Linked DNA regions of Oryza sativa Japonica Group. The protein of the gene in region 2 interacts with the protein of the main gene of each other region in a biochemical or structural test. Links are inferred from orthologs where the notes say so. Each region holds a gene or a part of one and is shown on either strand. Other genes may lie near its edges.

What was found.
Region 1: the proteins of protein GIGANTEA (region 2) and adagio-like protein 3 form a complex in vitro, tested with the Arabidopsis thaliana proteins (2 studies listed by BioGRID). The link is inferred for Oryza sativa Japonica Group from reciprocal best matches to the Arabidopsis thaliana genes GI and FKF1.

Annotation. Positions count from the first base shown.
Region 1 is NC_089045.1:22,116,927-22,121,537, forward strand, and holds the start of adagio-like protein 3, read right to left. Parts: upstream 3,039-4,611; 5' UTR 2,946-3,038; coding exon 2,641-2,945; intron 40-2,640; coding exon of another isoform or gene 39-39; exon of another isoform or gene 1-38. UniProt on the Arabidopsis thaliana protein: Component of an E3 ubiquitin ligase complex that plays a central role in blue light-dependent circadian cycles.
Region 2 is NC_089035.1:4,346,141-4,350,464, forward strand, and holds the start of protein GIGANTEA, read right to left. Parts: upstream 2,941-4,324; 5' UTR 2,754-2,940; intron 1,217-2,753; 5' UTR 987-1,216; exon of another isoform or gene 910-986; 5' UTR 892-909; coding exon 805-891; intron 713-804; coding exon 635-712; intron 543-634; coding exon 488-542; intron 410-487; coding exon 267-409; intron 108-266; coding exon 1-107. UniProt on the Arabidopsis thaliana protein: Involved in regulation of circadian rhythm and photoperiodic flowering. May play a role in maintenance of circadian amplitude and period length. Is involved in phytochrome B signaling. Stabilizes ADO3 and the circadian photoreceptor ADO1/ZTL.

The DNA.
Region 1 (4,611 bases), on a different chromosome or scaffold from region 2:
TGAGTCAACAGAGTAATGTGAGAAGCTTCTCTAGGCCCTCTGTCAAGTTATGTCACTGTTAGCTTGATGCAAATATGATACAGTTGAACAACTCGTATAAATGAAAAATGATAGTAGAATAACAGCAATTCAAGCATAGAGAACATGCATTTGTCTATTAGCTTTGTCGCAGACAACGAAGAAGAATGTGGCTTTTTGTTTGGTTTCAAATGTATTCTGTTAACCTAGTGCTAATTGCTAACATTGCTAAACATTAGGCAGAAACTAGTCCAGCTATTTTTTTTATGCTTTGTTGGACTTTAGTCGAAATGCAAAAAAAAAAAAAAAACCCTACATTGAATACTTAATTATGTTAGCCAATGCCTAGAGCTTATGCTGATTGCTGAATGTCCAAACTACTCCCTCCATCCCAAAATGTTTGACGCCGTTGACTTTTTTAAAAATGTTTGACCGTTCGTCTTATTCAAAAAATTTAAGTAATTATTAATTCTTTTCCTATCATTTGATTTATTGTTAAATATACTTTTATGTATACATATAGTTTTACACATTTCACAAAAGTTTTTGAATAAGACGAACGGTCAAACATGTTTAAAAAAGTCAACCGTGTCAAACATTTAGGGAAGGAGGGAGTACTTATGATGGAACACAGGTTTAACTAAACTCATCCAATGAATCTTTTGGAAATAAAATTAATATGTTTGGAATTGTTTGTGATGGCATGATATGTCAAAATGTAATATAAGAGACAAGTTCTTGCATCATGTAAGCAATTCAATAAATTGTTTTTCAAGAATTTTCATAATCTGACAAAAGAGAGGCTAATTGTGCAGACTGCACACAAGAATATTTACCATTCGACGTGGACGATTAGAGCAAATCACCACAAAATGGTAAAACGACATTTACGGAATGAGTCCCTAAAAGACTTTCCCCTTCTTTCCCAACTCACATCTCTCGTTTTCTGCGCGCACGCTTTTCAAACTGCTAAACGGTGTGTTCTTTGCAAAATTTTCCTATAGGAAAGTTGCTTTAAAAAAAATCATATTAATCCATTTTTTAATTTTTTTTAGGCTAGTACTTAACTAATCTCGCTCTAATCGCTTACATTGTTTTCCGTGTCAGGAGGTAAACCTTGCCTCCTGAAGACAGCCTTAAGCAGTACAGCACGAAAATCAAGTTCAAACATTTACAACCCAAGTCAAATTTCTCAAAGTTTATCTTCATATTACATCCAGAACTTCCATTTATGCTCAAAATTGAGTTCCGAATTCTGAAACTGACCATAATCAGCTACTTGTCAACTGAAAACCCTTGCAGGTGTAGTACTGTAGTACACTTATAAGGTTGTCACCAATAATAGCTTTCCATATTGTTAATACGGATCAAATTTCACAGTTGGTGTCCAAATTCAATGTTAATTTGTCATGTGAATACATTCATAGTTAATTATTTTCCAGTACCATCCAAGAGAGGAGGAAAAAGTCTTACTAATCCAGTATAATATATCCTCCTAGAGCACTAGCAGGCGACCACTAAATATGATATATGCCAATGGAAGACTAAAGTTACTAAGTATTAATTGGTAGCCCGGTGGTAAAAAATAAAAAGGCCTGGCTAAAACCGTGATGCTCCCTGTTGTAAATTTTTGTACCCACATGCTACAGACAACTGTGCTATATTCCAATTAATGGCCTACCCATCTCATTTTATATTCACAATATATGCTACAGTTTATTCTTCCATCATCCCTTTTTCTATGTGCAAGTGGCTACTTTAGTAGAGCAAGAGAAGAGAAGATATATCAGGGGAAAATATCTAACGGGTAGCCATCACCCTTGCTTGCCCAGCCTCTTCCCACCAGAAAACAAAAATGACCCAGAGCCAGAAAGAATATATGAACATTTCGTTGTTCGCCTCTAAGGTCCAATGCAAATATGCGATATAGAACTTCCATACACAAAATTTGTTTCAAAAGCCATTTCATAAATTTAGCAATAACATGAATATATCCAAACTAGATCGCGTAAGCACCTTTCAGGCTTTTACTGTACTTGAACAACATTATCTACAATTTACTTCGATTGTTGGCTTGCTCGTGCTGTGCTTAATGTGTAGATTAAAAATCAACAATGTCACCATTACTCAGAGATTGGCTCTAAAATACAGATGGTCTAACAGAAACAGTACACTTCAAATTCTGGCTAAATCTCATACTGGCATGATACCCATCTATAAATTTCAAAAAAAAAAAAAACAACCAATCAAAAGTGAGGATAAAATGCTAAAATTTACAGCAACTAGTCAGGAATCACGCATCATCGCCGCAATTGCAAGCATTAAGGCAGAGACAGAGTGGTGCGCACTCTGCACCGTACGCCTGTACAGGAACCCCCTAATTCTAACAAATGCGCATTAAAATCTCAAGGTTTGACTGCACGGCAAAAGCTCATTAAATTCAACAACACAGCCATCCACAACCACCATCAATCTCGCCAACATATCGAGCTGGAATCGAATCGAGAGCACCAAAAAAAAAAAACAAGCAGCATTTCGCCATCCCCATCCAACCACACCAGATCAGAGCAGAGCGGCATCGATCGGGGAACAGCTAAGAGCAGGGCGCGCACGAGGGCTCACCAGTTGCGGCCGAGGACCTCGTCGGCGCGGTACCCCGTGGCGGCCTCGAAGGCGGCGTTGACGTAGATGACCGGGAAATCCACCTCCACCGCGTCCGACACCACGATCGCCGCCGCCCTCCCCTCCCACGCCGCCGCCTCATCCTCCCCCGCTAGCCCCCCCGGCGGCCTCCACACCCACCCCACCTCCTCCTCCTCCTCATCCACCTCCATCCCCTCCTCCTCCTCCTCCTCCTCCTCGCACAGCTTCATCCTCTTCACCGCCACCACCCCGCCGCCTCCGCCGCGATCCCCCGCATCAAACATCTCTCCTCTCTCCTCTCTCTCTAGAACTTTCTCTCTCCTCGATGTGCTTCGAAATGGCGGAGGCAGAGCTGAGCTGAGCTGGGATGAGACGGTGGGGGAGATATTTTCGCGGCGGGGTTTATATCCGCGCGGGGTGGGTGGGGGAGAAGGGGCAGGGAGTTGGGGGTTAATTACGTGATCTGCCACCAAAATATCTCGCGGGGGGTGGTGGTGGGGGTGGGGCCCGCGCGGGCGGCAAAAGGACGGCGCACGGATGGGGGCCACTTGGGGGGGAGGGGGAAGCATCCAACGGCGCACCTTGTTTTGCTTTTTCCACTCGTGAGAGAGGTGGAGACGTGGAGTGGAAGGGAGAGTATCTTCAGATTGTCAGCTTCACTAGCGTAATTATTTTTTTTGTTCTTTCCCTCTCCACCTCTCTCTTTTTTTTATAGGAAAAGACCAGATATTAGGGGTGTAAAAATCTAAGAGCAAGTTTAGGCTCTGATCGGAAGCGAGGGTTGGGAACGAAGCAGCGTTTTAGTGCGTGATTAATTAAGTTTTAGCTATTTTTTTAAAAAAATAGATTAATATGATTTTTAAGCAACTTTTGTATAAAAACTTTCTACAAAAAAATACACCGTTTAGCAGTTTGAAAAGCGTGCGGGTGGAAAACGAGGAGGAGTTGGGAACTTATACTACCGAACGGAGCCTAAAAGTAGAGCAAACCACTATCTATAAATTAATCTAAGAGTTAACATATATATAATATATTAGGCTCCCATCGGATGGCCTAATTAGTCAAGAAAAAGTCAAAATTTAAATTTTTAAATTTAATTTTGAGATATTTTCAATGTAGTTTCTTTTTCAGCATTGGCTTTTAAGTCAGAAAAAACATATATATAAAAATTTTGTCTACAGATTTATTTTTATTCTCTAATAAACTGTTTTGGCTTATTAGTGGAAAAGCCAAACGATGACGGGACCGTTAGTTACCAGGTTGTATCTTATGTTCTTCTCCTCTCTATATGTAATTAATTTATTTGTTTACGAGAATGTGTATAGTTATCTCTTGCATAAGAGCTGGGACTCATCGTTTCCCTTGTTCTCTCTCCTTTACATAAGTATATAGTTGGTTTATAGTCTACTATTGAACTTGCTCTAGAGGGATTAGTGAAAATTTGGTTTCTTCTTGTACTAGAGTACTGCATAGAGCATTTAATTACCCCTCAAAAAAATAGTAGAATCTAATAATTGCGTACGCTAAATAAAAGACTTAGGGTTTGTTTGGGAAGCTCGAAATTCTGGGAAGCAATTTCGAAGCAAATGGTGGATAACTAATAGTTAGAATTAAAAAATAGATTTATTAGCTTATGATTTAATATCTACAAATTTTTAGAATCTAAGTGAAAATTTGAACGGTTTAAGCCAAAGATTCCAGAAGTAGCTAGCGGTTATATGCCACTTGATTGAATCTCAATTATGTTTTTTACACATGCAGAGAAAATGTGATAAAAGAAGTATTCTCATTGACGTTTATTGGACACGACTAATTCAGCATCGAAAATACAACACAATACCTAAATATTAAGTTTATAACATGCACACTTATTTTCGTAGTTTGATTCATCGAATATAAGTTTATTGTGTGGATGTTTCTTTTAAGATGGAACATTTTGATCCTGATTCC
Region 2 (4,324 bases):
TCCGCTTCACTATGTTGGTGATCAACTTTGAAGATTGGCCTGTTGTAGTGAGTTAGAACTCTAAGAATTTCTCCACAGGCCAAGGCCCACTGCTCCGAGTACTCTTTCTGCATAAAAGTTGCATCTTTATGAGCAAGAGTAGTTTGATAAGCTATAAGCAGCACAGTTTAGATATAATATTGAAATGCACAGCAGAGGCAAAATCTTATCAAACACAGAGAAATGAACCAATAAATTGGAACTAACCATTAGAGTAGGGGCCTTACCTCAGAAGTATGGCTAAATAAAGAGATGAAGGACATGAACGGGAAACCATTTCTATCATAACTGAGTGTCCCATCTATGATGCGTGACAGAATCGGATGCACAACTGCATGGCCATGCTCAGGATGATGAAGAACAAAAGTTGCTGGAAATATGAGAAAAATATGTCAAACTCTTTCTTCAATTGTTTGTGGAACATGTATTGATCACTGGATCAAATTACCTAATACTTCATCTACAAGGCGCTTTTCTTTTGATGGATAGCAACTTTGAATTAGCTGCAAGCATGCAAGAAAAAGAATGCAAAAGTTAACACACTGGAGAAAGATTTTATCACAGAAGATACTAAACATGCTTAGAGATACAGTACCTGAGCTATATCTTCAGGGAATTGCTCACTGTCAGCTGTAAACTGGCCAAAGTACTCAACATAGGCCAGAATTTGTGCCTTCAGAGAGGAGACGCAACCAAGTTTCCCATTGAGGCAAGTATGTTCAACATATAGAATTTCTAACAAGAATCAAATAGGAATAATGTTACCTGTTTTTGTTGTGAATCCTGTGGTGGGGGCCAGAACAGTGATGAGAACTGGAGCCCATCAATCCACTTCTCATTTGAAGCTGACATACTTGGTAGCTCAAGAGCCTGCCCAAGAAACTGAGAGAATTCTCAAAGAGAAAGAAAGAAACTACACAAACTGCTCCAGTTAGCAATAAAAGCACCTGTAATCAACACCACGTTGAAGCCGCCAGTTAGTTCATCCATTTATGCCACCAAAGTCCAAATCTTCTTATAAGCTACTTGCCTTGGTATCAAGAAACTTCGAGCAAGAAAGTTATAAGAGTGCTATCCACTTCATTCAATCAACCCCCATAACGGGGGTCTGCATCTCACAACGTGACACGTTATCATATCAACCAATGCCAACCATATGAGCTTCAGAGTCTCTACACTGTAATATATCGCACAACAAAAACCAAAAAAGGAGGAAAATACATGAATTTTAATTAATGCAAAAAAAAATTTACTCCCTCCGTTTCATATTATAAGCCGTTTGACTTTTTTCTTACTGAAATTTCTTCCAAGTTTGACTAAGTTTATAGAAAAATATAGAAGTATTTTCAACACAAAAAAAACATATTATCAAAATATATTCAATGTTAGATTTGATGAAACCAATTTAATATTTTAGATATTGCTAAATTTTACTATAAACTTTGTCAAACTTAACAAAGTCTGACTAGGAAAAAAGTCAAACGACTTAAAATATGAAACGGAGGGAGTAGAAAAAAACTGACAAATGAAAAGAGAGGGAGGTAATGCAACGAAAATTGCATAATCTTACAAGCGCATTATTTTATTGTCAAGTACAACTAAATTCATAATCAAACGAAAAAATATATCTAGGAAAAAGGTGGAAGCTTTCTCGTTTTTAATTATCGAAATGAAAAGGTACATGTTGCAATCATTTATAAGGTAAAGTTTACCATAACATTTAGTTATGGTGCAAGCTCACATGTCGATAAATATGTTAAGGAAGGCATCATAGAAATAGGCAAATTTATGGTAATGCTAATGGATGTGGTGTACAGAACCATTCACTTGGTTCCTCGTAGGCTCCTATGGCTTATCACACAAAATCAATAGATGTGTTTTTCGTGACATTTATACTTCATTTGTTATTCCACGTCACTCATCGGTCTGTTTTTGTTGGTCGATTATAAATGTATTGTCTAAGACAGAATTTAATGATGTTGTTCTATCTTGTTATTCTTTCTTTTTTTGGCAAGCAAAGATTCTATTTCGGGTACTATGACACCGAACCAGAAAGTATATTACCTAAAGCATAGAAATGGAAAATATATAGGAACAAAACAGGTTCTTCTTTTGGTGTTTAATTACAGGTGTCTCTGCTCATCGGTTGGTGTCTGTATTCACTTCCACTGTTAACGAAATGAGGAAGGGATCCCTTGTTACTGTTTCAGGGGAAAAAATATTAAAGCAGAGCTAGCTTACTGCGAATTAATTTTCAGTAATTATCCCCGCACAAATTACATCCACAGCCGTATGCACCACATCTAAACGCCTCCACGAAGCAGCAAAATCCAGCTAGAATCAACGCTACTCGCCTAAAAAAACCACAAAAACCTCCTGAAATTCGCAGTAATAAGCATCCATCTCGCGTTGATCTATCCGATGCCACGAATTATTACAATACTAATCAGCTCAACCTCGCCGTCAAATTTCAAAACTAATTTCCCTTTCACGTCTTCAAAATCCCAACCGCATCTACCACCAAAACTCTCTCCCCCCAAACAAAAATCCCCTCAACATAACACCACAAATCCACCCGAACCACCTCGCCCCCCATACACGACAACCTTAGAAAGGCCATCATCAAAACCAGCCTAAAAATAGTTTTAAAGAAAAAACCACCAAGCACAGCACAGAAAAACTAAAACCGCACGGGAAAAATAAAAAAGCATTACCTCGATCAGCCTTTCAACCAATCCGGACCTCACGCGGCGTAGACGGCGGCGGCGGCGAGGGGATAGACGCGCGCGGCGGCGACACGGGCGGTGGAGGAGGCGCAGGGGAAGGAGGAGGAGAGAGAGAGGGAGAGAAACGGCTCGGAGGAAGGAGAGGCGAGAAAAAGATTTTTTCCGGGGATGGTGGTGGTGGTGGTGGTAGTGGCCGCGCTATTTCCCACCCGCGCGCGCGCGTGGGGTGGGGGCCCACGCGGCGGTTCCGGGTCGCCGACACGTGGGGGCGGGTGATGTGGGGCCCACGTGTCGGTGATAGGCGGGTGGGGTAGCTGCGGGGTGAGATACTTATTCGTGAGTGCGGCGGGGGGGTGGGAAGGCTTTGCTTGGCTTGGCGGATCGCCTCCTGGCGATTGCTGACATGGCCTTGATATTTTCGGGGGTGCATGGCATGTATGTATGTATGTATGTATGCTTGGTGATCGTCATGCATGACCCCCCATGGCCATGGCCAATGACATGGATTTTGTGGTTCTAGTCCTTGTGTTGTGAGATTATTGCGAAATGGTCCCTATGATTTTTGAGGTACTATCATGGTAAGCGGTTAAAGTGGAGGTATATATCCATTTTCTTTTGCAAGTGAATGATTACTTTTTTTAGAGAGTTGACTAAGGCTCCCATCGGTTGTCATTTTACCCAAAATGACTTATTTGGCTTATTAGAAAATTAAAATTAATTTATAAGTAAAACTTTTGTAGATTTGTTCGTAGCGACTTAAAAGCCAACATTAACAAAAATTACGTTAAAAGCATTTCAAAATCAACTTCAAAATCAAGTTCAAAAATTCAAATTTTGGCTTATTCTTTGGCTGTTTAGGCCAAACGATGGGGCTATAAAATTTAGCCTCTGTATTCAAACTGGATCTACACGGTTAAAGTGATAAGAGCAAATTTAATAGTAAAGTCAACAAGTTGCTATAAGCTCCTATTCCATGCGTCCCAAAATACAAGGTTAGTTCTATTTTCCTCTCATCTCTCTTTCTCTCTCTACAAATTTAGGCTGAGTTCTTTCTCCGAATTTTTCAACTCACTTTCCTCGTTTTTCACGCGTACGTTTTTTAAACTGCTAAAAACAGTATGTTTTTTTGCAAAAATTTTATATACAAAATTGCTTAAAAAATCATATTAATCTATTTTTTTAAAAAAAATAGTAAATGGTTTATTAATCATAAGAAAATGTGTCACTCCATTTTACGTGCGTAGGAGGTGAGTTTCCAATCTCACCTCCCGAAACACAACCTCAATGTTTCTATGTTGGAGTATACGTAGAGATGGCTCTTGTTCGAGAGGCAACAATACACGTTTTCTTTTATTTCTTTCCTCCGTATATGTTTATAGTTGGTTTATATCTAAATAGTGTACTTGCTCTTAAATGATAGTGAGATTGCATGTTCCTTGAGCTTCTAAACAATGTGATTTGTATGAAAAAATTTGCATATGAACTTTATAAAAATACCATTTTAAAACCCATTTTCAGCATTGTAAAATTTAATTTATTCATTGGTGCCCTCGAACAGT